Linked DNA regions of Saccharomyces cerevisiae S288C. The protein of the gene in region 1 purifies or fractionates together with the protein of each later gene. This does not show direct contact. Each region holds a gene or a part of one and is shown on either strand. Other genes may lie near its edges.

What was found.
Region 2: the proteins of PHO11 (region 1) and IRC7 purify together in Saccharomyces cerevisiae (affinity purification with mass spectrometry, with the first as the bait; one large-scale study listed by BioGRID). This does not show direct contact.
Region 3: the proteins of PHO11 (region 1) and BUD5 purify together in Saccharomyces cerevisiae (affinity purification with mass spectrometry, with the first as the bait; one large-scale study listed by BioGRID). This does not show direct contact.
Region 4: the proteins of PHO11 (region 1) and GDH3 purify together in Saccharomyces cerevisiae (affinity purification with mass spectrometry, with the first as the bait; one large-scale study listed by BioGRID). This does not show direct contact.

The regions. Positions count from the first base shown.
Region 1 is NC_001133.9:221,126-229,243, forward strand, and holds PHO11 (acid phosphatase PHO11), read left to right. Parts: upstream 1-4,334; coding exon 4,335-5,738; downstream 5,739-8,118. Other genes in the region: YAR066W (uncharacterized protein), read left to right, coding at 1-535; YAR068W (uncharacterized protein), read left to right, coding at 1,281-1,766.
Region 2 is NC_001138.5:260,155-267,771, reverse strand, and holds IRC7 (cysteine-S-conjugate beta-lyase IRC7), read right to left. Parts: upstream 3,569-7,617; coding exon 2,546-3,568; downstream 1-2,545.
Region 3 is NC_001135.5:192,752-201,468, forward strand, and holds BUD5 (Ras family guanine nucleotide exchange factor BUD5), read right to left. Parts: upstream 6,799-8,717; coding exon 4,870-6,798; downstream 1-4,869. Other genes in the region: exosome non-catalytic core subunit RRP43, read right to left, coding at 1-267; RBK1 (putative ribokinase), read left to right, coding at 546-1,547; PHO87 (SPX domain-containing inorganic phosphate transporter), read right to left, coding at 1,663-4,434; MATALPHA2 (homeodomain mating type protein alpha2), read right to left, coding at 6,795-7,427; MATALPHA1 (transcriptional co-activator mating type protein alpha), read left to right, coding at 7,691-8,218; YCR041W (uncharacterized protein), read left to right, coding at 8,160-8,492; transcription initiation factor TFIID subunit TAF2, read right to left, coding at 8,423-8,717. UniProt on the Saccharomyces cerevisiae protein: GDP-GTP exchange factor (GEF) for the small GTPase BUD1/RSR1. Regulates the activity of BUD1 together with BUD2 which is a GTPase-activating protein (GAP) of BUD1. Required to produce both the axial and bipolar patterns of bud site selection.
Region 4 is NC_001133.9:25,612-33,440, forward strand, and holds GDH3 (glutamate dehydrogenase (NADP(+)) GDH3), read left to right. Parts: upstream 1-5,955; coding exon 5,956-7,329; downstream 7,330-7,829. Other genes in the region: flocculin FLO9, read right to left, coding at 1-2,357.

The DNA.
Region 1 (8,118 bases):
CACCAATAGCACCTCCTCCGCAGACTTGAGTTCTATCACTTCCGTCTCGTCAGCTAGTGCAAGTGCCACCGCTTCCGACTCACTTTCTTCCAGTGACGGTACCGTTTATTTGCCATCCACAACAATTAGCGGTGATCTCACAGTTACTGGTAAAGTAATTGCAACCGAGGCCGTGGAAGTCGCTGCCGGTGGTAAGTTGACTTTACTTGACGGTGAAAAATACGTCTTCTCATCTGATCTAAAAGTTCACGGTGATTTGGTTGTCGAAAAGTCTGAAGCAAGCTACGAAGGTACCGCGTTCGACGTTTCTGGTGAGACTTTTGAAGTTTCCGGTAACTTCAGTGCTGAAGAAACTGGCGCTGTCTCCGCATCTATCTATTCATTCACACCTAGCTCGTTCAAGAGCAGCGGTGACATTTCTTTGAGTTTGTCAAAGGCCAAGAAGGGTGAAGTCACCTTTTCTCCATACTCTAACGCTGGTACCTTTTCTTTGTCAAATGCTATTCTCAACGGTGGTTCTGTTTCCGGTTTGTAACGTAGAGACGACGATGAAGGCTCTGTAAATAACGGTGAAATCAACCTAGACAATGGAAGTACCTATGTTATCGTTGAACCAGTTTCTGGAAACGGTACAATCAACATCGTCTCTGGTAACCTATACTTGCACTACCCTGACACCTTTACTGGCCAAACTGTTGTATTCAAGGGTGAAGGTGTTCTTGCCGTTGACCCAACCGAAACCAACGCCACTCCTATTCCTGTTGTTGGCTACACCGGTAAGAACCAAATTGCCATTACCGCCGACATCACTGCTCTTTCTTACGACGGTACTACTGGTGTCTTAACTGCAACCCAAGGTAACAGACAATTCTCTTTTGAAATTGGTACTGGATTCTCTAGTTCTGGCTTCAGTGTCTCCGAAGGAATCTTCGCAGGCGCCTACTCATATTACCTAAACTATGACGGTGTCATCGCTACAAGCGCCGCATCCACATCCGCATCCACTACCTCTGGTGTTGTCTCTACTGCCACTGGTTCAGTCACTTTATCCTCTAACGCTTCTACCACCGTCTCTTCTACGATCTCTTCTAGCGCCCCAGACTCAATAATTCCTTCATCTAGCGCCTCTATCTCTGGTGTCTCAAACTCCACTACAGCATCTGGTTCAATCGCTTCTACTGCTTCCACCGCTTCCACTACTTCTACTGCATCCGCTGCATCCGCCACCAGCTTCACCTCAGGTTCCGCTTCTGTCTACACTACTACATTAACTTACTTGAATGCCACAAGTACAGTCGTGGTTTCCTGTTCAGAAACAACCGACGCTAGCGGTAACATTTACACCATTACCACAACTGTCCCATGCTCATCTACCACTGCCACCATCACATCTTGTGACGAAAACGGATGCCATGTTCCAGCACCAACTGCTACCGACGCAACTGCAACCGTTTCCTCCAAGTCATACACCACTGTTACTGTTACTCACTGTGACAACAATGGCTGTAACACCAAGACTGTCACTTCTGAATGTTCTAAAGAAACTGCAGCAACCACCATTTCTCCAAAATCATACACTACTGTTACCGTTACTCACTGTGACGACAACGGCTGTAACACCAAGACTGTCACTTCCGAGGCTTCCAAACAAACATCATTGGCCACTAGCACAGTCACCAAGTCTGCTGCTCCAACTTCTCATACTGCTGCTTCCAGCACCTTCACTGGTATTGTCGTTCAATCCGAAGGTATGGCTGCTGGTTTGAGAACCAATGCTTTAAGTACTTTGGCAGGTATTTTCATCCTTGCTTTTTTTTAAAATGAGTGCGTAACCGTACTTTCCTAAAAATAACTAAGTAGAAAGTATTTTAATATATAAACGTCAGTGTAAACATTCAAGTGATTTTAACTTTACGCGGTTGAAGAATGCTGTGTTCGAACTATAAAGCGTCAGAAAAGATGGTTTAGCGAAGGCACCATTATGAAGATAGACACATTCTTCTTTTTTTTTTTTTTTTTTTTTTTTTTTTTTTTTTTTCATTTACTTTTATTTCGCGCGGTCGGTAAATTTTTCGTGGGTTTCTTTGAATCTATTAGCCGACATAAGAATAATGCATAAATAATATTTTTAATGTCTTCCTATGCCCAAAAGAAGAAGTCTTGAAGTTGCCGCACATGGAAATCACATGACCATGGCTTGGCCCTTCGTTTTAAATGCAACATGCAATATGGAATGTGTCATGAATACTATCAGCAGGAACAGAAAGCGTCGTTTTGTTTCTGCAAATGCTGTAGTTTTGGGCCGAAAATAGATGTAGTAGAATATATAGTGAAACGTGATGTACAAAAGAAAAAGGTAGTTTAAAAAAAATTAGATAACTTGGATTTTTACCCTGAATATTGCATGTGATTCGTAAAGAACTGAGTTACCTCAAACGGACCTCCCTTTTCATTTCGTATTCCGCGAATCATGAAGTCATGCAATTACCTCTGAAGAGCTGACTGTCCCAAAAGAAGCTATCGAATCTGTCCTTGATTTATTTAAGCCTTGCGTTTCGAGAAAGTGAAAACCAATTGAATACAAAATAAAAAAAAAGAAGAAAGAAATAGCAGGTCTAAGATATATAAGAAAGTTAATATCATTTTTGAACATTTTATTTTAGACGCCTTCAGCCGCGCGACGCCCGGAGTAATCATATGCCCATGACTTTACCAAAAGGCAACAGGGAGGAACATGCATTAATGTGAAGCATCACTGCTGCAATTCTCGGTGTTGCTAATAATTCATGGATCGAGAAAGAGACATAACATTTAGGCCAATTTTTTGAATAAATATGAACTCAGCTAAGACTCGACAATACAATTTTCTTATACTAAACGTAGATTTATAAAATAAACACAACTGTAAGGGCAATGCAACCGTAGATGCATATATCATTTATAGAAATTATATCCAACAGAAAGCTCAGACTTATATCCGGTTTAAGAGAGAAATTCTTGCTCATATTACCCCAAGACCAGGTGGCGTGTTGAAGTTTATAACATATAAGAACTACTACCTCATGAATTCTAGTGGATGAAAGAAGCAGCACGAACACCATTTCTACAGACAACGACACATGGAAAGGTTCACCATTCCCAAAGAAAACAACGATGGCCACAAGGGTGTGGTCCTCCATTCTCCTACTGTTGGAAGGAGATATTATCCGACCGACTGTTTTGTGATATGGCAAACTATTTTTTTAAATGAGCAAAATTACTTCTTTTGGCTGGAAATGTCATTAGAAAGTGCCCAAGTGACATTTAGCTAAACTCGGGTATTGTCTACAAGACCGGTGCTGTGACCGTTTCCAATACGGAAAGAAACGGTACTGGGAGCAGGAGTTGCTTTTACAGATATGAACAATGCCAATAGAGCCGCACATGTAATTACTGGTTCACACTCGTGGGGCCCACACGATTCCTGTGCAAAGTTTGACAAGAGGATGGAGTTTCACGTAAATGCTGCCAAAGGTGATGCGGTTTTGTTTTTGGGCAGCCTCTACCATGTTGCAAGTGCGAACCATACTGTGGCCACATAGATTACAAAAAAAGTCCAGGATATCTTGCAAACCTAGCTTGTTTTGTAAACGACATTGAAAAAAGCGTATTAAGGTGAAACAATCAAGATTATCTATGCCGATGAAAAATGAAAGGTATGATTTCTGCCACAAATATATAGTAGTTATTTTATACATCAAGATGAGAAAATAAAGGGATTTTTTCGTTCTTTTATCATTTTCTCTTTCTCACTTCCGACTACTTCTTATATCTACTTTCATCGTTTCATTCATCGTGGGTGTCTAATAAAGTTTTAATGACAGAGATAACCTTGATAAGCTTTTTCTTATACGCTGTGTCACGTATTTATTAAATTACCACGTTTTCGCATAACATTCTGTAGTTCATGTGTACTAAAAAAAAAAAAAAAAAAGAAATAGGAAGGAAAGAGTAAAAAGTTAATAGAAAACAGAACACATCCCTAAACGAAGCCGCACAATCTTGGCGTTCACACGTGGGTTTAAAAAGGCAAATTACACAGAATTTCAGACCCTGTTTACCGGAGAGATTCCATATTCCGCACGTCACATTGCCAAATTGGTCATCTCACCAGATATGTTATACCCGTTTTGGAATGAGCATAAACAGCGTCGAATTGCCAAGTAAAACGTATATAAGCTCTTACATTTCGATAGATTCAAGCTCAGTTTCGCCTTGGTTGTAAAGTAGGAAGAAGAAGAAGAAGAAGAGGAACAACAACAGCAAAGAGAGCAAGAACATCATCAGAAATACCAATGTTGAAGTCAGCCGTTTATTCAATTTTAGCCGCTTCTTTGGTTAATGCAGGTACCATACCCCTCGGAAAGTTATCTGACATTGACAAAATCGGAACTCAAACGGAAATTTTCCCATTTTTGGGTGGTTCTGGGCCATACTACTCTTTCCCTGGTGATTATGGTATTTCTCGTGATTTGCCGGAAAGTTGTGAAATGAAGCAAGTGCAAATGGTTGGTAGACACGGTGAAAGATACCCCACTGTCAGCAAAGCCAAAAGTATCATGACAACATGGTACAAATTGAGTAACTATACCGGTCAATTCAGCGGAGCATTGTCTTTCTTGAACGATGACTACGAATTTTTCATTCGTGACACCAAAAACCTAGAAATGGAAACCACACTTGCCAATTCGGTCAATGTTTTGAACCCATATACCGGTGAGATGAATGCTAAGAGACACGCTCGTGATTTCTTGGCGCAATATGGCTACATGGTCGAAAACCAAACCAGTTTTGCCGTTTTTACGTCTAACTCGAACAGATGTCATGATACTGCCCAGTATTTCATTGACGGTTTGGGTGATAAATTCAACATATCCTTGCAAACCATCAGTGAAGCCGAGTCTGCTGGTGCCAATACTCTGAGTGCCCACCATTCGTGTCCTGCTTGGGACGATGATGTCAACGATGACATTTTGAAAAAATATGATACCAAATATTTGAGTGGTATTGCCAAGAGATTAAACAAGGAAAACAAGGGTTTGAATCTGACTTCAAGTGATGCAAACACTTTTTTTGCATGGTGTGCATATGAAATAAACGCTAGAGGTTACAGTGACATCTGTAACATCTTCACCAAAGATGAATTGGTCCGTTTCTCCTACGGCCAAGACTTGGAAACTTATTATCAAACGGGACCAGGCTATGACGTCGTCAGATCCGTCGGTGCCAACTTGTTCAACGCTTCAGTGAAACTACTAAAGGAAAGTGAGGTCCAGGACCAAAAGGTTTGGTTGAGTTTCACCCACGATACCGATATTCTGAACTATTTGACCACTATCGGCATAATCGATGACAAAAATAACTTGACCGCCGAACATGTTCCATTCATGGAAAACACTTTCCACAGATCCTGGTACGTTCCACAAGGTGCTCGTGTTTACACTGAAAAGTTCCAGTGTTCCAATGACACCTATGTTAGATACGTCATCAACGATGCTGTCGTTCCAATTGAAACCTGTTCTACTGGTCCAGGGTTCTCCTGTGAAATAAATGACTTCTACGACTATGCTGAAAAGAGAGTAGCCGGTACTGACTTCCTAAAGGTCTGTAACGTCAGCAGCGTCAGTAACTCTACTGAATTGACCTTTTTCTGGGACTGGAATACCAAGCACTACAACGACACTTTATTAAAACAGTAAATAGATAATATGATTATGTAATTTTAGAAACTAATTATGAATACCGATTTATTTTTTTTTTTTTTTTTCACTTTTGCTGGCAAGAAATACGAAATTGCAATGACGATCACAGTCCAAAGAGGTAAGCACAAAGGCGCAGTATGTGATTACTCTATCATTCTTTAGCAAAACCAGGATAGGAGTATATGTATAAGAAATATGCAACGCCATCATTTAATGCAATAGACACGACATGCCCTTTACATGAGGTGGTACAATGTTTTAATATTGTGTCAGGGCAAGTACATGATAATATCGTTTAAAGATGATGCTAGAGTAAAAGTATGAAGTGAAAGAAAAGGGCAATTGATTGACTAAGCGGATGTTGTAGGATGATATAGTGGCTCATGATCTGTAAATGATCGGTTGACCGCAGTATTATATAATAACATCCGTATAAGTACATATACTACCATGTCTGTTCTCTACATTGCTTTTTATTCAAGATTATTGGTTTTCCTAACCGCCGCGCCGCGCAGGTACCCCGCGCATCTCTTCTTCTCGAAGAAAGCGGAAAAAACAAAAAAAAAAGTATAAATAGTGGAGTCTTTTCCCATTTAACATTTAGAAAAAAATTCGAATGGAAATTTCTTGCCGAACATTTAACCGGAGACCCTTGGCGGCTTTTTCTCAGTTTCGTGGGCTAGTACATTTTACCTAGTATGCTGGGAACTTTTTTTCCGTATTCTATTCTATTCCTTGCCTTACTTTTCTTATCATTTTTTATATAACCAATTTCAAAAATACTTTTTAACTGTCATAGACGCATTTTGTTTATTACAAATTAAAAGAATCAAATATAATATGTGCAATTAATAACTCCACAAGTAGCGAAAGCAATGGCCGCCATTAGAGACTACAAGACCGCACTAGATCTTACCAAGAGCCTACCAAGACCGGATGGTTTGTCAGTGCAGGAACTGATGGACTCCAAGATCAGAGGTGGGTTGGCTTATAACGATTTTTTAATCTTACCAGGTTTAGTCGATTTTGCGTCCTCTGAAGTTAGCCTACAGACCAAGCTAACCAGGAATATTACTTTAAACATTCCATTAGTATCCTCTCCAATGGACACTGTGACGGAATCTGAAATGGCCACTTTTATGGCTCTGTTGGATGGTATCGGTTTCATTCACCATAACTGTACTCCAGAGGACCAAGCTGACATGGTCAGAAGAGTCAAGAACTATGAAAATGGGTTTATTAACAACCCTATAGTGATTTCTCCAACTACGACCGTTGGTGAAGCTAAGAGCATGAAGGAAAAGTATGGATTTGCAGGCTTCCCTGTCACGGCAGATGGAAAGAGAAATGCAAAGTTGGTGGGTGCCATCACCTCTCGTGATATACAATTCGTTGAGGACAACTCTTTACTCGTTCAGGATGTCATGACCAAAAACCCTGTTACCGGCGCACAAGGTATCACATTATCAGAAGGTAACGAAATTCTAAAGAAAATCAAAAAGGGTAGGCTACTGGTTGTTGATGAAAAGGGTAACTTAGTTTCTATGCTTTCCCGAACTGATTTAATGAAAAATCAGAAGTACCCATTAGCGTCCAAATCTGCCAACACCAAGCAACTGTTATGGGGTGCTTCTATTGGGACTATGGACGCTGATAAAGAAAGACTAAGATTATTGGTAAAAGCTGGCTTGGATGTCGTCATATTGGATTCCTCTCAAGGTAACTCTATTTTCCAATTGAACATGATCAAATGGATTAAAGAAACTTTCCCAGATTTGGAAATCATTGCTGGTAACGTTGTCACCAAGGAACAAGCTGCCAATTTGATTGCTGCCGGTGCGGACGGTTTGAGAATTGGTATGGGAACTGGCTCTATTTGTATTACCCAAAAAGTTATGGCTTGTGGTAGGCCACAAGGTACAGCCGTCTACAACGTGTGTGAATTTGCTAACCAATTCGGTGTTCCATGTATGGCTGATGGTGGTGTTCAAAAACATTGGTCATATTATTACCAAAGCTTTGGCTCTTGGTTCTTCTACTGTTATGATGGGTGGTATGTTGGCCGGTACTACCGAATCACCAGGTGAATATCTCTATCAAGATGGTAAAAGATTGAAGGCGTATCGTGGTATGGGCTCCATTGACGCCATGCAAAAGACTGGTACCAAAGGTAATGCATCTACCTCCCGTTACTTTTCCGAATCAGACAGTGTTTTGGTCGCACAAGGTGTCTCTGGCGCTGTCGTTGACAAAGGATCCATTAAGAAATTTATTCCGTACTTGTACAATGGATTACAACATTCTTGTCAAGACATCGGCTGTAGGTCGTTAACTTTACTAAAGGAAAATGTCCAAAGCGGTAAAGTTAGATTTGAAT
Region 2 (7,617 bases), on another chromosome or scaffold:
AAGGAATATAGAGCAATGAATCTTCGGTGCTTGGATATGATGTTGTTACTGTTACGATATCTTAAATTCGGGATTAGAATTCTGGATGATAAATGGACCTGTCCTTCAGAATAGCAAAAAAGAGAATCGAGACAACGACAGGAAATACATTGTTTTAAGAACGATAGGAGATTCATGTCTATAAATTGCCTAGATTTTTCCAAGGTACTGCGTAATGTTTCTTCTGTTGGCAGCAGATCGTAAATGACATCGTAGTATAAACCGACAACGCTTGATCTATATGTAAAACCTGACGCAGTTTGATCGAAAAATGATGTTGAAGAATTTAAAAGAGTTGAAAAAGTTATCCGTGAAGTTGATATTGGTATGGATCTGTATGAGTCATCGAAGCTAATCAAGTTGGATAATCATTTTGGTATTAAATTGTACATTAAAGAACAAAGTTCGGGATTCAGCTCGCCTTCATTCAAAATTCTTGGGGCGTCTTGAGGTGTATTTTGCTGTTTGATTGGAAGATTTAGCCTGCCATTACCTAAAACTTCCTTGGATACATTGAAGCAAATTGTCAAATTCCAACACCCGTCTTTGATGCTAGCGGCTGTTACAGATGGTAATGATGGTAGAGCAGTTGCATACATGGCAAAAATCCTAGGCTTAAAGTCTACAATATTTACTCCATGGAATGTTCTAGAACAGAGCGTGAGAACATCAGATCAGAAAAGGGAGCAGAAGTTATCAAAATTAAAGGTAACTATGATTATGCAATAAAAAGTTCTTTAGAGTTTTGTAGTAGCGATCCGACAAAAAAATCAACTTATTCAAGATTTTTCATTCATAGGTTATGATGAAATTCCTAACTGGATTTCTTATGGTTACACTACCTTGTGTAGCGAAATACCATTCGATCCTGCGGTAATATTTGTCCCTTGTGGGGCTGATTCTTTTGCTCAAGGAGTGATAACATATTACAGGTCGCATAAATCGAATACGAAAGTCTTCTCGGTTGAACCAGATACCGCTTACACTGTCAATAAGTCATTGGTGTTACAAAAGGCTTCATCTGATCTAGGAACCTCTAGAACAATCATGGATGAGTTGAACTGTCCGAGGATTTCAGCAACAGCATTTCTTCTACTACAGAAAGGGGCCATCTATTTCCTGTTTAGTTTCCGATGAAGATTGTATGCAAGCAATTAAAACACTAGGCTCGCTAGGAGTAAATTCAAGTCCATGCGGAGCTGTTACGTAAGCCACGTTTATTAGATTCATTGATAAACTGAAAAACATGGGTGAGTTAAAAGTAGGTGGTAAATTTGTGTTGTTGTCTACGGAAGCTATAGGTTATCAAGGAATCTTTAACTATGGGTATTGCTGACGGCTTTGTATCGGGCTTTTGAAAAATACGATATTTCAGAGCCATATGCGCAAAAATATATGTACAACTTCTACTTTGTTGTTTCAAAATTATCCAACTAGTTGTTTTGTAGTTGAAAAAAAACGAGTATTAGCGTTCTTCTTGGCCCTTATCTTATTCTTTATTTTGCCAGCTAAGGTTATTTAAGTTGAAAGATATACATAACGTCATATAAAGTAATCTCTTTTTCAAAATGTTAATTGAAGCGATACACAGACGATGATGAATAAAATCATGTGAGTATAATTTTCCTTATAACCTTTTTTACACGACAAAACCACCGATGATGTTCTGACCTACACTTTCATAATTGCATCCGTTCACCGAGATGCATAGCACCATACGTACTTAGAGTAACCATAGCTATTTACAATAGGTAACAATATACATAGTCTATGGTAGCAGAGTGCGTACGGGCTCTTCGGTTACTGACGTAATCATATTATTTCTTAAACACCAGTGGTTATTTTGCTGCATCTCTATTACGGTATTCTTTTTATTGCTAGCATTTAGCCGCGGAGTGAGATCACATGTCATATTGATATGCCTTTCTCTACTGAATGAAATCGAACTAAAAAATCTGTAGTGTCAAGCTCAAGCCTGGTTCACAAATATTATATTCAGGAACGCAAGTAGATAAAGCAGAATCATTTCCGCTGAATAAGTACGATATACGTTTTTTCTATCTTTATACAATACAAAATTATTACTTTTCTAAATACAATGACTTCATTATGCAGTGTCATTGAAATGCATTCACAATATGGTAAGCCTCTTTATTACAATCAGACATACAGAAAAAAGAAAGATTATCTGCTTCATCATCCATAATATGATACAGCTAGAAAATTGAACCATATATTAACTGGGCAAACATTGGCTACTAGATGGTTGTCTACTCCAGCCTGCCTAAGACAAGCTATAGTCAAAAATTTCATTCATTTCTCAAACAACATTGCTTGGAAATCCAAAAAAAAAAGGAAAAAAAATCAGATTTGTAAAGGATTCAAAGAAATTTCTTCTGCGAGACGTTCAAAGCCTAACTCAAAATCCCTTTTTAAATCTTCAAATTCTTCGAGACCCACTTGTATTCTTAGTGCAAAACCTTTGTAAGGCCATGTTGAAGCTTTTCTAGCCACCCCATGAAAATCCCAATTGCAAAACTTTCATCCCTTCTACCATTTTCTCCAGACCAGCTCTTGTGAACCCATTTTTAAGGACAATGGAAAATAAGCCTGAAGAACCTTTGTAGTCACGAACCCAGTATTCATGTCCGGGACAATCTTCAAAGGCGGGGTGAAGCACTTTTTCAACCTCATCTCGATTTCCGAGCCAAGCAGCCAAATCCAGGGCTTTTCTTTCTACCTCTTTCAATCTTAAGTGCAATGTACGCATTCCTCGCAATGCTAATTGACAGTCCTCGGCACCTGGTAACATTGCCATTGCATCATAAGTTGACCGTAATAGCGGCCAACATTCTTCATTTGCGGAGGCCAGACCAATAAGAAGATCTGAATGACCACCCAAATATTTTGTCCCAGCTTCTACCGAAATATCGATACCATGCGCATGAGCATCAAAAAAGAGTGGCGTTGCCCATGTGTTGTCTAGAATTGTCTTTATCCCATGCTTTTTGGCAACAGAGACCAAAGCTGGAATATCCTGTACTTCCATGGTCCCAGAACCCGGGCTTTCGAGGAAAATGACGGTTGTATTTGGCTTAACTAGTTTTTCTATATCCTTCCCTATTGATGGGTCATAATAATCCGTTTCAACACCGAACTTGGCCAATAAACCATCACATAGCATACGTGTTGGCACGTAGACACTATCAGTCATCAAGATATGATCACCAGCTTTCGAAAGGGCCAATAGCGCCAAAGAGATAGAACCAAGCCCAGAAGCTGATAGCACTGTCCCAGCACCGCCGGTTAAATGCGTCCAGGCATTTTCTAAATTGTCAATAGTTGGAGAACCTGCTGTCCCGTAAAATCTTCCTTTCCTTTGTTCTAAATCACTAAGTTTTTTAAGAATGATGGTTGACCCCTTATACAAAGGTGGATTAACAAAGCCACTTTGTTCATCTGGATTACGTCCAATAACAGACAGTTGCGTAGTAATACCAAACTTCGATAACTCGGTACGATCAATCATTGTAGTGAATATTTTGGTTTTTGCTGGAATTTTATATTCACAGTTTCGAAACACGTTAAGTATTTTTTCATTGTGGTGTCCCAACACTAGAGCAGTCTTTCTTTTTATATGTCCTTGTCTTCTATATTTTTATCAAGGAATATTTAGCACTGATGAGCAAATTGGCACTTTCAACATTATTTGGATGCTACGGCGCCTTACAATTGAGTTGATTATACGGAATTTGAATGCCGAAAAAGAACGTTAAAAAAATATACTCAAAACAAGAGGCGACAATAAAATCGTTATCAATTTTTTTATCACTTTATGAATGTTAGATACGGATTGAAAAAAAATGCTTATCTTTCCGATCTTGATTGCCTTTTTTATTTTCGAGAATAATTCTTTTTTTCAGGTTCATGGCACATTTTTCAGGAAAACTTGGGTTCACCTCGAGCGTGAATATGGTGTGCTAAACTTTAAAAATTTCAGAACAAAGAGACTCTCCAGTTTCATCAGGAGCCTTTTGGAGTAAAAGGACGTTCACTCTTGCCAAGTAAAAAAAACGGTTATGCCATAATCTTAATCAAGCTACACGCAACATTCAAGAGACCAGTGGCTGAGTCACAATATTCTCGGAAGCTAAATCTTAAATCCGGGCTGGTGTAAGTTGTTGGTGAGTAATGGTGGAAAGTTTGGAACTTTTCTCATACGACAATTTTTGAACACGCAATGCCTATGTATACGCCTTGCGCCTAATAGTGCTCCCTATGTGTCGATCTGACCCATAGTATCGCAGTTTCTAATTTTGTGATAGAGGTTCTGGTTATAAGCAAGAAAAGTTTATACTGCTGGGCGCCGCCTAGCATCATTGTCTGCTTTCCAAAGGCATGGAAGGCGGCGGCAGTGTAATATTACCGCGTTATCGCAGACCTAGGGAGAATGTAATTTCTCACGTGTTCCTTTAGCAGCATATTTTTTACTTTTTAAAATAGAAAACAATGAGCCGGCATACCTATGACCTGCGCTCCACCTCATATGGAAACTGAAAGTACGTTTTTTTCTCTCTATATAACACAACTCAGCATCTTAGTCTTTAAAAATGGTTATTCATGGAATGATCAATAATGCACTTAACTGGTGAGGCTACTTTAAGGTCAATTAAGTTAGTAACGTTTCTTTTCATGTTTTCACTCGCCCTCTCTTTTAAATGATTCTTTTGTACTCTATAATTCATTAAAAGATGTTCCTCTTCTTTTTATTCGGAGATATTTTGGTAAATTTACTACAGTTTCCTTTCAGAAGATAGCGATGCCGTACGGCACAGGCGGTGTACATCTATGAGAAATTTGCAGATTAGCCTAGGCCTCTATTGCACTTATGTATATATATCTGACGTGAAAGTTCAGCGCAACAAGGAATGAAGGCAACGTGTCATTCAAATACAGTGGGAAGTCTACACTAATAGCTATGCGGTTTAAATTGCTTAGAATCCATAGCATTGTGGCACTATTAACGAGAGGTAGAGATTGGTATTGAAGGTACACATAACTCGATACTTTCCACCTTTCTCATCAGGAAATATTATTATTACTGTATATACTTTTATGCAAATCCAATTGCCCTGTTAAAAGTCACTATGGGTTGCCGGTATCAATTCTAGTATACACATGGTAATAAATCCGTAGAAGGGCCGACATGTACTACATTCTGTATATATCTCAAGCGTTAAGTGATATAACGATCGTGTTCTTATTTCGCATAAAGTTGTCAAGACCATGAGACAGGTCCTATAGAGGTAGTTTTGTTGATATTTGGGTATTTTCTCTTTTTCAAATCTTTTACCTTTATTTTGCATATTGTACATTCTCATAATAGGGACAAGAATATCCCAAGACAGAAATACGAAGCTAGCAGGTAAAGTACATAAAAACTTACACTAGCGTCAAGAATAACGTGCATTTAATTTTTTTTTTTTTTGGAACTCCTATATACGTAGACTAGAATATGCATAAAGAACTTTAAATATCTAGAACTCACGTTATGATATATTCTTACAGGCCATAAAAAAAATCAAGTCTTGTTTGTATAATCATTAGTTACCGGTGTAAGAAATTGCTGTATTTGTCATATTTGTTAGCTGCTTCCCTTCATTAAGCGATAATATTTCGGACATTATAACGGCATCATTGGCTATGATATACACGAAATACAACCAGCTTCGGTAAAGTATGTATTATTTAGTGATACAGGGCAAAACATGCATGAGAATATGAAGATTTTATTGTGTTGGTAAATTTGAAAGTATTCATATAGAGTATGATTAGGGGTTATTAACATATAAACACCAATGCAAAGCGCCATACAAGTCAGAATATGTCGATTTTTTAAATTAGAGCATTATTCCGCGGACAACACGCAATTAGAGAGACACAGTCTGATAATAAAGTACAAGAAGGGCACACTCCGGTAGTAGAATTCTTTCTTTGCGCGTGAAATATTTGAAACTAATCATTGTATGCCATTCGTTTTCTTATTATCATATATATTTTTCGGTCGCTAAGTTTCCGTCAAAAAAATTTGACTCAATAGTCATCTCCTCTTTCCTTTTTCGAAACTATCAGAAGTGACCATTACTACTAAGATTTGTAATTTAAGATTAAATAAATTCTTCCAGAAAATTTTTCTTGCATGATTGTGCATACGCTTCTCTCGACTGTTTGTTTGGTCTCCTTGTAATATTACGATTATTTTTACTTCCGTTTTATATGTTTCATTATCCTATTACATCACCAACCCTTGAATTTCGCTTCCATTAGATTTGATGACTGTTTCTCATACCTAATGTCATTTTCTTACACTGTATGTGATAATGTACTAGTAACACGATACTACTAAACAGATGATATTTTAGAGTTTCATTCCAACAACTTCAATGCTTCCAATTTATTTCCCCTCATGATAAAACAAGATCTCAGCTTCATTGTATTTGCCTTCTTTTTTTCTTCGAAGCCATTACGTGCGCATTGACGCTGCACTGTCCAAAAAAAACCTTAATTCTAATTTGATTGATTTTCCTTTCCCTTGTTTTTTGCAACTCCATGTATTAATAAAAGAAAAGCCAGGGTATCTTCTGTGAGTAAACTAACGTTTCATACCTTCTGTACGTATTAAGAAATATAATTTCTTCTGTAGCTTGGCATATACTGCAACAAGTCCGTAATTTGTCTTCTATTTGAACTTCTAGCAGCTGAAGATTCTACAAAAGTTTTTCTTTTGCCTTTCGGAATTACGCTTTTGAGGTAAGTAGGTTTCTATGTAAGTGACCTTATTCAGATTCAGAAGAACACTTTGTAGTTTAAAGCTTCTTTTAAAATTTCTAATGCCACTAAACTCTCTATCGGTTGCGCCATAGTCGAGTTTTATTTTACCATTACGTTTTTCTTCCTTTCTTTTTCAATTCAACCAATAAAGCCTCCTGCAACTTTCCTGTATTTCAAAGTTTCGATGTAGGCTTGGTGGTGAACATCAAGATGAGTGAATTGAAAATAAAAATCTCAATCAAACCCATTGAAGCTTTTGCAATTCTAATTAAACGTGCACAGATCTTTTCCATCACGCTAACACATGATAAAAACTTCGTGTAGATCTTTTCGATGAAGAAATCAAATATTGAGAAGAGTGCGTATATAATCAATTAAGAAAAGTAACAAAGGTTGACGTGACTTTACTATAAGTGTATAATACCACTTAGACCGGAATGTCATCTTCCCGGTACTATTGATTGAAGTTTTTGCCTACTGAGTCTGTTTTAATCTTGAACAGCCAAAAATAATCCAATTGTCAATGAGCAGGTTGATTTTTATTACGCTAGTCTTGATGGACATTGTTTTGGCTTTAGACATCATAGAAAAGAGCAAAACAGTTACTGTCTCGACGAATTACCATGAAAAGCTCACCATCGAAAAAGATGTTTATTTAAGTCTCGTAGGTAGCTTTCACAACTTCTATTCTGATATGAAAGTAAACGGTGGTCTCTGTGTGTGTACGGATGATTCATCTATTAGAAA
Region 3 (8,717 bases), on another chromosome or scaffold:
AGTTATGACTATGGTTTTCCCACTTTTCAAAACATTTGAGCCTAAAATGTTGTTTTTAGTGTCTATATTACCAGCATCCGCATAACGCGATAAAGTATTATTTTCTATAGCAACATCTCTAAATTCTTCATATTTTCTTAGACATGGCCTGATTCCTAGGGATAAGTGTCTTTGTAAAGACAATTCTGGAGATATTCTCGCAAGAACTTCAGGTGGAAAAGTAATTGGGTGTATCTCAATAGTTTCTAACGTGGTACTTTCAGCCATTTCCAATATTAGATGCCTGTGAAACTACTGTCAAACTTATTTGTGTAACAATACTCATCGTCTAATTTGTCCATTATTGTTATATACTCTGTCATAAAAAAAGAAAGAAAAATCTTATACTTTCGTCGACTGTGATTTGAAAATCTCTCCAGATCAAACGGGAATAAAAGGGTTTATATCCGAAGGTGGCCAGAACAATCATGAAGCAAATAGGATAAAAATAGCCAATAAGATGTTTGTTGTCTTTCATCCCAAAGTTCCAACAGCATATTTCAAAGATGGGTATTACAGTAATAGGTTCTCTAAACTATGATTTGGACACATTTACGGATAGATTACCTAACGCTGGAGAAACTTTCAGGGCTAACCACTTCGAAACACATGCTGGTGGTAAGGGATTGAACCAAGCTGCGGCCATTGGTAAATTAAAAAACCCCAGCAGCAGATATAGTGTTCGAATGATTGGTAATGTTGGAAATGATACATTTGGTAAACAATTGAAGGACACTTTATCCGATTGCGGAGTCGATATCACTCACGTCGGTACTTACGAAGGCATTAATACGGGTACCGCTACCATACTAATTGAAGAGAAAGCTGGTGGCCAAAATAGGATATTGATTGTAGAAGGTGCTAACAGCAAGACTATTTATGACCCGAAACAGTTGTGTGAAATTTTTCCAGAGGGCAAGGAGGAAGAAGAGTATGTTGTTTTTCAACACGAAATTCCTGATCCTCTTTCCATTATTAAATGGATACATGCGAACAGGCCGAATTTTCAGATCGTATATAACCCCTCACCTTTCAAGGCCATGCCTAAGAAAGATTGGGAGTTGGTAGACCTTTTGGTCGTTAATGAAATTGAGGGTCTTCAAATCGTGGAAAGTGTATTTGATAATGAACTTGTTGAAGAAATAAGGGAGAAGATAAAGGACGACTTTTTAGGAGAATATCGTAAAATTTGTGAGCTTTTGTATGAAAAACTCATGAATCGAAAGAAAAGAGGAATTGTGGTTATGACTTTGGGTTCGAGAGGGGTGCTTTTCTGTTCGCACGAAAGCCCTGAAGTACAATTCCTTCCGGCTATTCAAAATGTTTCGGTTGTTGATACTACAGGAGCTGGAGATACTTTCCTGGGCGGTTTGGTTACTCAATTGTATCAAGGAGAGACCTTGTCTACGGCTATAAAGTTCTCTACATTAGCTAGTTCATTGACCATTCAAAGAAAAGGTGCTGCTGAAAGCATGCCACTGTATAAAGATGTTCAGAAAGATGCATAAAATCTACTGCAATTTTTTACTTTTAGTTTGTTAAATTTTAGTTTTCGTCATATATATAAAGTTTAAAAAGGTACAAAGAATGCAGTAATAAGAAATGTAATTACATGAGGGCAGTTTAAGTGCTACCTTTTAAGACGGAAGAACTAATACCATAACCGAGAGTAATTACGCAGACAAACGCTAACAACGAAGCAGGAACACCTCTGGAGATAAAAGCGCCTACAGTTAGCCATCTATTACCCTTTTTATCGGTCATAGAAATAGCAGTAACGTTTGGAAATCCAGATGAAGCCAACCCCATACCGCATGAGGCTAACAAGGCGCAACCGAACACAAGAATTGGAGCTGCCTTTGGATCGGATAATTTGTCACCAACTTCTTGCACCAAGGGAATAATGATGATTGCTGACACAGTATGTGAGACAAAAGTGCCCACAACTAACATTAAAATACCGAAAATACATAAGATAGCAAAAACACCATCGTTCTGAATTTTCTTTTGTAATGCTCTTGCAATAGTTACCAACAAGCCTGAAGATGAAACTGCCTTACCAAGGGCTATACCACCCATAGCAAGAACAACAATTGACCAAGGGAATGTGTTGAAATCCTTTGTTGATAGTAGACCTGTACCAAAAAACAGGACTATCGGTATTACTGCAATTTCACCGGACGATCCAAAAGCACTTTCTATTTGTGACTCTACACACCATAGAAGAATAGTAGCAATAGTTACAATGATGATAAAATATTGCTTTATAGTAAATCTGGTCCTTATTGGTTTAAATTTTTCCAGTTTAGTTTTGCCTATTTTAAAGGTGAGTATCATCAAGGCCCAGGAGCACAGCATCGATAGAATACCTGTAGGCAGAGCGACAGCAAAAAATTGCCCCCAGCCGATTCCATAAGGTTTTAAGTACTGCATGGAGATGATATTCTGTGGCGAAGAAATAGGTGAAGCCATACCACCAATATCTGCCGAAAGTGCAACACCCATGACTAATGCCTTAGCAAACGGTGAAGTGTAGTCCAGCGGATCTAGTAAGGGTGTTAATAGAGAATATGTCAATACTGGGGAGGCAACGTTGGAAATCCACATCGAAAGAAAGAATACAACACTCATTGCCATTAAAAGGACATTTCTTGGCTTGGTACCTGCAAGGGCCAATAACCACGATGCCAAAACTTTCGCAACGTTATATTGCGACAAGGCTTCACCCAATGTGAAACCTGCTAATAAAATCATAATTGTTGACGACCACATTGTACCTAAGATTTCTGTAGAGGCAGCTGCTGCTCCCATTACCTTACCGTCATCGTCTTTTAGTACCCTAAAAAGGACAGTTAGAAGGGGAACCAATAAACCTGTGATGTGTAATGGAATGGCTTCACTAGCCCATAAGAAAGCACAGCATTCTACCAATGCCATACACCGGTGTTCGACAGGGTCATTGAAAGTTTTAACACCCAACAAAACACCTGTGACAATGATAATGAAGCCTATTTTCATTGCTCTTTTCCCAAAAAATAGCTTAGGAACTGCCAAATTTTCAATTTTAGTAAACTTCAAATTAATTGGCTTAGGCAATGGATACTTGAAATATTCAATTTGAAGCTTTTCTTGCATAAGTTTCTCAGCTTCATCTTCAATAGTTATTATATCGTTATTTTGCGAAGAGAGGCCCAACATGTCTTTCCATGTGTTGCTTCTTTCCCAAACAATGTGGTCGTGCAGGTACGACTTTAACTCTTGCTTGCATGAATCTACGTTCCCAGGCTGACCCATGAGAACAGCATAAAATTCAATAAGTTGTGCAATTTTACTGTTTAAACTGCTTAAAGTTTCATGCTGGAAGATGTAGGTGTCTTTGAAAAATTCTTCACTTTCTATTAATTCTTGCCTAGTGTTCATGTGCAATACTTTATCAGACTTCTTAGTAATTTTACTGAAACCCATTCTGTTCAATTCGATAAAAGATTTCAACTGGCAAAGGTCTATGTAAAGATTTATTATTGTCTGTTTTAATAATGACTTTTTCTGAGATTTAATGTTAAATTGCGAATAATTCAAGAGGGCGGTATTGTCGGTAGTGTCAGCAAACACGTCAACGTCATCATCTTCATCCATTTCTTCTTCGCTGTAATCAAACCTATTTCTCAATTCACTGTCGATGTTTGAAGAGTGTATTTCAAATGGGTTATTAGATGAATGTGTCTCTGATGTACCAGAAATAATTTCTCTTAAAGGAGGCAATGCTTGAATTTCAGGATTGAAAGTTTCATTCAATCTTGTTACAATGCCTTCCTTCTCCAAATCATTAATCAAGTGGTCAAATCTTTCATAGAACTTAGCTTCCATTCTTTTGTAGAAATCATCTACTTTCAATTTCTCGTCGCTCAGGTTAGTTACGAATGTATCATAAGAACTGAAGAGCGTCTTTCCCTCGCTACTCACAGATGAGCTGCGTGATTCAAAGAATTTCTTACGTATAAAATTCTTATTGAAAGAGGTGGTTTTCCCTTGAGGAGATAACTCGTCTAACTCAATTGTTTCCTCGTTAATATTGTTCCCATCTATGGCCTTTTCGTCGGAGTCTCCCCTTTTGCTTCCTGAAGGTGTTTTAGAACCAAAGAGCTTACGCTTGAGTTTATGTGTAAATCTTCTTTTCGATGAAGATGGTTCTCCTGCAGCTATGTTGCTTTCTATATCAGCGATTGGACCTGGAGTCTGAGAGTCAGCGTCATCGTTTAAGTCACCGGTTGGCGTTTCTTGTTTCAATTCATCTGTCTGTAATGTGTAGATCAAATTTTTCAATTCGTTATAATCTAGGTAATGATTCTGCCATTCAGGGACAGCGTTGTATTTGAGAAAGTGTGAGAATCTCATTTCGAGGCACAATAATAGCCGCCTTTACCGTAGTTTTGCTGCACCTTTATCTGAGAGCTGACTGCTTTTTTGGTGTGAAACACTGTTTTCTGGTAATAATTTTTCAATGCATCGGATTACTTTTCCCACGTGCGAAATCATCAATTAATTAGATTGAAAAAAGGGTAAGGGAAAATAAGAAAGAGGCGGTAGCCTAAAGATACGGTAATTGAAACGTTTCCTATGCACAATCTTAAACCTTTTTAGGTAATTGATTAAGTTGACTGTAATATCTGTAAAAGATTACATCTAATTTACGTCTGGTTTCTTATCAAAAAATATTATCTACTGTAGTTATGCAAGTATTCTTAATTTTCAGTACTAAACATGAATATTAATTATTTGTGAGCGTACAAGAAGCAAAAGGAAGTCATCTTTCTTTGAACAGTTCTGTTTTTAGGTAAGCCTTGGAACCTTAGCTATACTGACTTGATACGCCCTGTCTTTGTTGTCGTTATATAAAGTGTGCACCTTTATCATAGCCCCTAATAAGCTTCTTGCAGTAGTATTTGAACAGTGTATATCTTCATATTGCTTTTGTTGTAAATATTGCGCAAAAGCGACTATCTTTGTGATTTGGTTGAACTTTTGCATATTCACGTTATTACCATCTTTAGTGAATGTATCGTTTCCGTCTCTTATGAAGGTAATGTCCCTGATAAGCAGTGATGTAAAAGGTACACAAGGAAGCTGACTGTGGAAAATATGTTTAATTGTTCTTCTATAAACGTTGTAGTTGTTGTTTGGATGTACGACGACTTTTAGGCGCTGAAAAAGGTGGTCTGATTTAACATCTATCGGGAGAGATAGTCTTTCTATTGAATGATTTTGCAATGATGTAATGATTGAAGCAAGTGAGTTTAAGTTTCGTAAGTATAGACAAGACAGTGCAACTTGTAACCAGTAGGAAATGGTGTGCGTTTGCTGCAAAGTTGTCTCAAGAACGTAGGACGATAACTGGTTGGAAAGCGTAAACACGGAGTCAATTGTTGTATCGTTGTGTTTGAAATGTCTTGTGAATTCTATTGTTTCAATATCCAAGTAAAGAGAAGATTCTAAGAGAGTCAATGTCTTTGCAAGTGACCATGGAGATACGTTTAGAGCGAAGGCTTCGACTTCTAGAAGTTCACCCTGTTTCCATTGGAAAAGTAAATCACTGAGGTCAGTTGCACCGCACAATTCATCATTTGCGTTCGTTTTGTCTATCTCGTATTGGAGAAATAAGTTTTCGTAGTCCAGGGGCGGTTTATTTTCTTCGATTTCCTTATCAGTTAGACCAATGTAATGAATCTTCAATTGCCTCGTTCTTTTTTTGTTTATAAACAGCTGAACTATGTCTGCAAACAGTTCTTGGTATTCATAATATTCAGCCAAGTGACTGTACCAAAAATTGAGGATATCTTTTAATGTTGTCTCACTATCTTGCCAATAAGACTCTACCCAGATTTGTATTAGACGAGGGACGGAGTGATTTTTGTGTTTGTTTTTATTAATTGTGGGATAGGATAGTAGCAACTCTTGGAGGAGAGCATTGTCAGTTGTCCAGTCTCTGAAGTTAAGTAGTAAGTTTGCGGAGTCAAAGGGGGATGGCTTTTGCCATTTGTGAGAGTTGTGCGGCAGCATCTTATTCAAATAGAGCTGTATTCTGAAGACCTCTTGTAGAACATCATCCATACTAAAAAGTAAATCGTCCTGTCCCATTACGAGCTGTATTAGTGCTGTGACCCTCTGTATATTTACGTTGCCATGAAGAAGGTAATGGGCGATATTTTGATACAATTCCTGAGTTGCATGTTGGATTGAGTTTACGAAGGGTCGCCAGACGGCCAGAAACCTCCAGGCGGAGTTAACAACTAGTAATACGGCATCCATGTTTGCATCAGCGCCGAGCCTATACCAGTCACTGAGTAGACGTTTTCTTGCTCTTTTTATGTCCTGACTTCTTTTGACGAGGGGGCATTCTCTAGAGACACAGGCAGTTGCTTCCAGCAACTGCCGTACGGCCGTTCTCATGCTGTCGAGGATTTTTTTTGGGACGATATTGTCATTATAGGGCAGTGTGTGACTTATGAATTGTTGTAGAAGGACGTCTGTGATGTTGGAGATATGTATTTTGTTAACTCTTCTTGAGACGATTTGGCCCTGGATAGCGAAGCGTGCGGTTACAAATAGGTCGTCTTGTTCAAGAAGGTAGGCGAGGACATTATCTATCAGTACAAACATCTTAGTAGTGTCTGAGGAGAGGGTTGATTGTTTATGTATTTTTGCGAAATATATATATATATATTCTACACAGATATATACATATTTGTTTTTCGGGCTCATTCTTTCTTCTTTGCCAGAGGCTCACCGCTCAAGAGGTCCGCTAATTCTGGAGCGATTGTTATTGTTTTTTCTTTTCTTCTTCTATTCGAAACCCAGTTTTTGATTTGAATGCGAGATAAACTGGTATTCTTCATTAGATTCTCTAGGCCCTTGGTATCTAGATATGGGTTCTCGATGTTCTTTGCAAACCAACTTTCTAGTATTCGGACATTTTCTTTTGTAAACCGGTGTCCTCTGTAAGGTTTAGTACTTTTGTTTATCATATCTTGAGTTACCACATTAAATACCAACCCATCCGCCGATTTATTTTTCTGTGTAAGTTGATAATTACTTCTATCGTTTTCTATGCTGCGCATTTCTTTGAGTAATACAGTAATGGTAGTAGTGAGTTGAGATGTTGTTTGCAACAACTTCTTCTCCTCATCACTAATCTTACGGTTTTTGTTGGCCCTAGATAAGAATCCTAATATATCCCTTAATTCAACTTCTTCTTCTGTTGTTACACTCTCTGGTAACTTAGGTAAATTACAGCAAATAGAAAAGAGCTTTTTATTTATGTCTAGTATGCTGGATTTAAACTCATCTGTGATTTGTGGATTTAAAAGGTCTTTAATGGGTATTTTATTCATTTTTTCTTGCTTATCTTCCTTTTTTTCTTGCCCACTTCTAAGCTGATTTCAATCTCTCCTTTATATATATTTTTAAGTTCCAACATTTTATGTTTCAAAACATTAATGATGTCTGGGTTTTGTTTGGGATGCAATTTATTGCTTCCCAATGTAGAAAAGTACATCATATGAAACAACTTAAACTCTTAACTACTTCTTTTAACCTTCACTTTTTATGAAATGTATCAACCATATATAATAACTTAATAGACGACATTCACAATATGTTTACTTCGAAGCCTGCTTTCAAAATTAAGAACAAAGCATCCAAATCATACAGAAACACAGCGGTTTCAAAAAAGCTGAAAGAAAAACGTCTAGCTGAGCATGTGAGGCCAAGCTGCTTCAATATTATTCGACCACTCAAGAAAGATATCCAGATTCCTGTTCCTTCCTCTCGATTTTTAAATAAAATCCAAATTCACAGGATAGCGTCTGGAAGTCAAAATACTCAGTTTCGACAGTTCAATAAGACATCTATAAAATCTTCAAAGAAATATTTAAACTCATTTATGGCTTTTAGAGCATATTACTCACAGTTTGGCTCCGGTGTAAAACAAAATGTCTTGTCTTCTCTGCTCGCTGAAGAATGGCACGCGGACAAAATGCAGCACGGAATATGGGACTACTTCGCGCAACAGTATAATTTTATAAACCCTGGTTTTGGTTTTGTAGAGTGGTTGACGAATAATTATGCTGAAGTACGTGGTGACGGATATTGGGAAGATGTGTTTGTACATTTGGCCTTATAGAGTGTGGTCGTGGCGGAGGTTGTTTATCTTTCGAGTACTGAATGTTGTCAGTATAGCTATCCTATTTGAAACTCCCCATCGTCTTGCTCTTGTTCCCAATGTTTGTTTATACACTCATATGGCTATACCCTTATCTACTTGCCTCTTTTGTTTATGTCTATGTATTTGTATAAAATATGATATTACTCAGACTCAAGCAAACAATCAATTCTTAGCATCATTCTTTGTTCTTATCTTAACCATAAACGATCTTGATGTGACTTTTGTAATTTGAACGAATTGGCTATACGGGACGGATGACAAATGCACCATTACTCTAGGTTGTTGTTGGATCTTAACAAACCGTAAAGGTAAACTGCCCATGCGGTTCACATGACTTTTGACTTTCCTTTGTTTGCTAGTTACCTTCGGCTTCACAATTTGTTTTTCCACTTTTCTAACAGGTTTATCACCTTTCAAACTTATCTTTATCTTATTCGCCTTCTTGGGTGCCTCCACA
Region 4 (7,829 bases), 190 kb from region 1:
GATGTAGAGGTGAAAGTACCAGTCCATGGTTCAGTGGTGGTGCTGATTAGACCTTCACTAGTTGGAGTTCTGATGACAATGACGGTTTCGTCAGTTGGAACGCCGTTGGTACCGGTGACGGTGGTCATTTCAGTGGATGTAGAGGTAAAAGTGTCGTTCCATGGCTGAGTTGTAGTCATGGCAGTAGTGGCTGTTGTTGGTGTTCTGATGACAATGATGGTCTCATCAGTTGGCAAACCGTTGGTACCGGTGACGGTGGTGATTTCAGTGGATGTAGAGGTAAAAGTGTCGTTCCATGGCTGAGTTGTAGTCATGGCAGTAGTGGCTGTTGTTGGTGTTCTGATGACAATGATGGTTTCATCAGTTGGCAAACCGTTGGTACCGGTGACGGTGGTCATTTCAGTGGATGTAGAGGTAAAAGTGTCGTTCCATGGCTGAGTTGTAGTTATGGCAGTAGTGGCTGTTGTTGGTGTTCTGATGACAATGATGGTTTCATCAGTTGGCAAACCGTTGGTACCGGTGACGGTGGTCATTTCAGTGGATGTAGAGGTAAAAGTGCTGTTCCATGGCTCAGTTGTAGTTATGGCAGTAGTGGCTGTTGTTGGTGTTCTGATGACAATGATGGTTTCATCAGTTGGCAAACCGTTGGTACCGGTGACGGTGGTCATTTCAGTGGATGTAGAGGTAAAAGTGTCGTTCCATGGCTGAGTTGTAGTCATGGCAGTAGTGGCTGTTGTTGGTGTTCTGATGACAATGATGGTCTCATCAGTTGGCAAACCATTGGTACCGGTGACGGTGGTGATTTCAGTGGATGTAGAGGTAAAAGTGTCGTTCCATGGCTGAGTTGTAGTCATGGCAGTAGTGGCTGTTGTTGGTGTTCTGATGACAATGATGGTCTCATCAGTTGGCAAACCATTGGTACCGGTGACTGTGGTCAATTCGGTAGAAGTAGAGGTAAAAGTGTCGTTCCATGGCTGAGTTGTAGTCATGGCAGTAGTGGCTGTTGTTGGTGTTCTGATGACAATGATGGTCTCATCAGTTGGCAAACCATTGGTACCGGTGACTGTGGTCAATTCGGTAGAAGTAGAGGTAAAAGTGTCGTTCCATGGCTGAGTTGTAGTCATGGCAGTAGTGGCTGTTGTTGGTGTTCTGATGACAATGATGGTCTCATCAGTTGGCAAACCATTGGTACCGGTGACTGTGGTCAATTCGGTAGAAGTAGAGGTAAAAGTGCTGTTCCATGGCTCAGTTGTAGTTATGGCAGTAGTGGCTGTTGTTGGTGTTCTGATTACAATGATGGTTTCGTCAGTTCGTACACCATTGGTGCCAGTGACTGTGGTCAATTCGGTAGAAGTAGAGGTAAAAGTGCTGTTCCATGGCTCAGTTGTAGTTATGATGGTGCTAGCAGTTGTTGGAGTTCTGATGACAATGACGGTTTCGTCAGTTGGAACGCCGTTGGTACCGGTGACGGTGGTCATTTCAGTAGATGTAGAAGTGAAAGTACCGGTCCATGGTTCCGTTGTAGTTATGGTAGTACTGACAGTATAATTTGAAGGGTCTGGAATGGTACAGTTTGGCTGGCTTAGATTGTTGTCAAAAGTATATACGTACCCTTCAAAGTCATCACTAACGGTAGTGCCATCTGGTAGTGTCACACTAATTGGAAGTGTACCCCAGGCAACGGCATTTGAGTAAACAATCTTCATTGGATAATAGAAACCAGCATACATGTAGACAGTCCCTGTAATATTATCAGGGGGACTTCCATTCCATGGCTTGATACCATTGATGGTGAAGTTAGTCGACGTGATGGGAGGTTGTTCTTGTGCACAACATTCGAACGCAATGCTACCACCGACTGATAGAATTGCAGAGTCGTCAACTGTAGCAAACTTGAATGTGTAAGAACCCGTCTGTGGTGGTAAAAAATAACCTGTCATTTCTAGGGTTACGTTTGTTGGGGTAGTATAGAAACCAAATAAATCAGTACTCCAGTATGCAATTATTGGATTATTAGAACAAGCACCAATTCCTTTGCATCCCCAATTACCATATAAATCTTCTTGAGGACAAGGAAATGTGCCTGATGAACTAACACAAGGAATATTATAATCAATCGAGATATCAGTTTGTCCTCCGACAGAACCCAGTTTAGTTTTTGAGGCATATCCATAAGCCATATATGCTGCATTCGAATATGTGGAGGAATCTCTCAATGAATACTGGTAAAAGTTTACATTCATACCATTCTTCCTTGAGTTTGCTGGCAGGCATGCCGCTGTAGTCGCAGAGACAACATTAGTTAATCCCAGCAATGTGACGATGGCTAGTAGTAAACAATAATGTGCCAGAGACATTTTTGGGGCTTTTATTGTACAATTGTTCTTTTTAAATTGCAATTTAAAGAGCGTACCTGTAAATAAGAAGGAAGAACGTTATGTTATTAATGGACTTTTAGTGTCATCGAATTTTATGTAATATATAAGAAGGTAGAATAATTTGGCAGGATAATGTGTTAGCAAAGGAGGAAATCGAATACCTTTAAAAGAGAAAAAATTTTTTAGCTGCTTAAATTTCTGTGTTATACCACCCGATAGATTTTGAGTTATGCTTTCTAATTGATCTGACTGCGAACGTTTTCTTTATGCCATCTGAATTGTCAGGAACAAAGAAGAAAAAGAAAAGTTTTTAAAAAATCTGTGGTCGTGTGTGATGTACCTTTCCTTTACATGCATTAATGCGCTCTGAAATGTGGTACGATATCCTTACAGAGAATATATTTTCTGTATATCGTGCAATGTTGAATAACCTATGAAGGAAAGTACCCATCGCTCAAGGTAAGCATTCCAGGAGGGTCGCCAGAAACTTAAACTAGTTTTAGCGACAGATCCGAAAATTGATAGAGACATTGAAAAAATCACTACTCCGTCCTTTTTAGTGCTTTCTCAATGCATAATTTTGGTGCACGACTAAAAAATTCTAGAACACTATAGTTGCATTTTTTGGGCCGGAAGAAGAAAAACGCATGTAACTTTAATGTCAAATAAAGTTTTCACCTAGTAAGCGCGATACAAAAAAAACACAGAAATAGCCATAGGAAAGTGAATTTTGTCAGCCGACTAAAATTAAGGTTAGCTTACAAAGCAGCAAAAAATTTGACATCGCACGGTATTCCCTGAAAAAGGAGCAGGCAGGTGCTGTATATTTTTTTCGGTTCCTGCCTCTTACATGGCGTCGGTGTATCTTAAATACTAAAGTGAGCTGACTACCCTTTTGAGTGCCCTATGTGACCTCTGATCTCGAAAGTAAACAAGAGATACCTAATTTCACAGCCACTTTTTGTTGCGGACACTGACGGGATGTGTTGTGAATATTTTAAACCTTAAAAGTATTTATTGGTTAGTTATACTTAATTCTTATACGTCCTTTAAAACCAGTGTGCAGTAAGTCTGTCACACAAAAATATGATTGATGCATTTTCAAAAAATAATGGCTTTGAGGTAATTCGTTCCACTTTTGAGACTTATTCACATGTCCCAGCTGGGTGCAATCAAAATATACCGGCATTTCAGCAAGGTAACTATATACGCTTTTTTTCTCATGGTTTTTGAAATCATACCTGCCAAGCTTGCTGCACTTGGAAGGCAACTCCGTTTTTCAGAGATTAGATCCTTTTTTTTTTGAAGAAAAGGCAGCCAAGTTACGTCATAGAGAAAACTCCCTAGAGCGCTGCAAACACTTGTTAGTTTGCAGCTTACTTCACGTGTGGCTGGAAAATTGAAAAGTTACAATACGGTAAAAATACTTTGAAGACACTACACTATAACTGCTTGACCAAATTTTTACTCGTGAAAAATTTGTTCCAGCCGGTCTGTTACTGATATTAAGTTAAGGAATAGTAAACCGTATATTTTTCATCCACGTTTTTGTAGTTTATTTTCGGTTTACTAGCTATGCATTGATTGTCTATCAGAGCATATCAAGGTGGTTATGGAGGTGCTGATATTTAATCAATAAAATTATAGAAATTTTGAGAAAACAATAATGATTGTTTCTACAATGAAAATCAGTTCATGGAATAGTTGCCTTCGCACTACTTTTTCACCAGATTAATGGTGCATCAGAGCTTTCCCTTTTTGTCTTTTTCTTGTTTCCTTTTTCGATTGGTTTATCACGTAAGTTTCTTATGACATAAGAAGAGGCAAGAAACGAAAAGGGAAATATTGCCTACTTTTTTCTTTTCGAACGTAAATAATGACGGGATTTTGGTGTCATTTTTTTTCGTCTGGATTTTCTCAGAGAAGTACGTTTCGTCGCACAAGCTAAAATCATTGACAGGGCATGAGTTACGTCAATCTCTGGTCAATCCATGTCCAAAAAAATTTCTTGATTTGTTCAAAGTTTTTGCATAGGCACATTAATTGGTTTAGCGAAGTATACATTCTGAAGAACATTTTTGGGTGTATTTTCCACATAGAAAATTCGATTTTTTTTTTTCAATGCACCACTTGTCGAGTATACGTTAACTTTAATGTATTGAAGATGCAAAAATGAAAAGCCTACTTGGCATATGGAATTACAATAAATGGTCAATTCCTGTTTAAGCTAGCAGCGGCACTGTCGGTGTAAATTTGGGTTTAAACTATTGTTTACTTACTTTGAGAAATTTATGTATCGCCTATATTTTTCAATAAGTGCGATATCTTTAGCTTTCCACAGAACCCCCCCTCAGGCTATGGACGTGCGGTTATATGATCTTCTAATAAAAATCTCTTAGACTACGGTTCATGGAATACTTCTTGACTTCTTGGCGAAGGAAAGGCGCATAAATGTTGTGATCGAATGACCAGTAATACGTCGTTTGTTCTCTTGCTGAACAGCGAGGAAGAGATATTCATCCAAATGCATGAACGCAGAATCCTGTAAAAGTCGTAAAAATGTTAATCGCAATGTTGTAAAAACCGTCAAGGCATTTATCGTTCAAAATGGCGATCATTGTTACTACTAAACACTTACTGTTAAATTAAAAAGCTGATGTTGCGTAATCCATTGACCAATTCATAGGCAATGTATTTCAATGACGCACAAGATTCATAACAAATTTTTTATTTACGATGTACCTGTACATTGTGCAGAAGGTCTTCAGAGTGAGTTTAAGCTAGGCTGTAAATATTTTAATGTTAAGATGAAATTTAAGTGAGCTGGTAATATCAAGTGAGGCATAATTTGTTATATGTAGCTGAACTTCAACTTTAAATAGAAAAATTACAACTAACAAGCACCGGATTGTTTCAGAATTCAAAGTGTAGAAGCTATTATTCTTGCAAAATAAAACGCTTTCAAAGTTTTCTTCTATAAACATACTTGTGGCAGCTTGTTTTTTTTGTTTTATTTTTAAGTTTTGTTGGGTCTCTGAGAACTTTCAAAAAAAGAAAAAGTAAAGTATGATAAAACGGAGCACTTGCCAAAGTAATTAACGCCCATTAAAAAGAAGGCATAGGAGGCATATACATATATATATATATATATATATATGGCTGCTGACAGATATTCTGCACTTAAAAACTAAAAATATTATACCAACTTTTCTTTTTCTTCCCGTTCAGTTTGCTTGATTGGCCCAGCTCTTTGAAGAAAGGAAAAAATGCGGAGAGGGAGCCAATGAGATTTTAAAGGGTATATTACTTATCTTATCGATAAGCAGTATTGATATTAAAGGGACAGTTTTATCGTTGGTTAATATGGAAAAAGTGATGACCATGATGCCTTTCTTAAAAAGAGTATTTCTTTTTATTTCACTTTCACATAAACAGTTAATGACTTCTGACTTTGAGCCGTTCGAACTCAGTTATATAAAGGTACATACATAGGCCACACACACACACACACACACATATATATATATATATAGGGAAGTAGCAACAGTCACCGAAAAGAAAAGGTAAAAAGTAAAAAATGACAAGCGAACCAGAGTTTCAGCAGGCTTACGATGAGATCGTTTCTTCTGTGGAGGATTCCAAAATTTTTGAAAAATTCCCACAGTATAAAAAAGTGTTACCTATTGTTTCTGTCCCGGAGAGGATCATTCAATTCAGGGTCACGTGGGAAAATGATAATGGCGAGCAAGAAGTGGCTCAAGGATACAGGGTGCAGTTCAATTCAGCCAAGGGCCCTTACAAGGGTGGCCTACGCTTCCACCCATCAGTGAACCTGTCTATCCTAAAATTTTTGGGTTTTGAACAGATCTTCAAGAATGCGCTCACTGGGCTAGATATGGGCGGTGGTAAGGGTGGCCTGTGTGTGGACTTGAAAGGCAAGTCTGACAACGAGATCAGAAGGATTTGTTATGCGTTCATGAGAGAACTGAGCAGGCATATTGGTAAGGACACAGACGTGCCCGCAGGAGATATTGGTGTCGGTGGCCGTGAAATTGGCTACCTATTCGGCGCTTACAGATCATACAAGAACTCCTGGGAAGGTGTGTTGACTGGTAAGGGTTTAAACTGGGGTGGCTCACTTATCAGGCCGGAGGCCACCGGGTTCGGCTTAGTTTACTATACGCAAGCAATGATCGATTATGCAACAAACGGCAAGGAGTCGTTTGAGGGCAAACGTGTGACAATCTCCGGAAGTGGCAATGTTGCGCAATATGCAGCTTTGAAAGTGATCGAGCTGGGTGGTATTGTGGTGTCTTTATCCGATTCGAAGGGGTGCATCATCTCTGAGACGGGCATTACTTCTGAGCAAATTCACGATATCGCTTCCGCCAAGATCCGTTTCAAGTCGTTAGAGGAAATCGTTGATGAATACTCTACTTTCAGCGAAAGTAAGATGAAGTACGTTGCAGGAGCACGCCCATGGACGCATGTGAGCAACGTCGACATTGCCTTGCCCTGTGCCACCCAAAACGAGGTCAGTGGTGACGAAGCCAAGGCCCTAGTGGCATCTGGCGTTAAGTTCGTTGCCGAAGGTGCTAACATGGGTTCTACACCCGAGGCTATTTCTGTTTTCGAAACAGCGCGTAGCACTGCAACCAATGCAAAGGATGCAGTTTGGTTTGGGCCACCAAAGGCAGCTAACCTGGGCGGCGTGGCAGTATCCGGTCTGGAAATGGCTCAGAATTCTCAAAAAGTAACTTGGACTGCCGAGCGGGTCGATCAAGAACTAAAGAAGATAATGATCAACTGCTTCAACGACTGCATACAGGCCGCACAAGAGTACTCTACGGAAAAAAATACAAACACCTTGCCATCATTGGTCAAGGGGGCCAACATTGCCAGCTTCGTCATGGTGGCTGACGCAATGCTTGACCAGGGAGACGTTTTTTAGCCGTAAGCGCTATTTTCTTTTTGTTCGTAACTATCTGTGTATGTAGTAGTGTAATCTACTTTTAATTTACTATGCAAATAGGGTTCAGCATTACGGAAGAAACTGAAATCCCTTCCGCGGAAGTTTCTTAGTAGTGGCCGTGCGGGGTGAGGAGATTACATGTCGGTAATTAGATGATTAACCTAGGCAATTTGAAGGGGGATAGTGGCATTGGTTAGCTCAGATATGATAAGGAGAACTAAGCAAGGGGGTTAACCACCACGGCTGTAGCACAAGACCGGCAGATGCGATTATTAGCAACACATTAGTTAATGCTTTTGATAAAATGTATATAAAGGCTGTCGTAATGTGCAGTAGTAAGGACCTGACTGTGTTTGTGGTTCTCTTCATTCTTGAACCTTGTCATTGGTAAAAGACCATCGTCAAGATATTTGAAAGTTAATAGACAGTTAACAATAATAACAACAGCAATAAGAATAACAATAAATTCATTGAACATA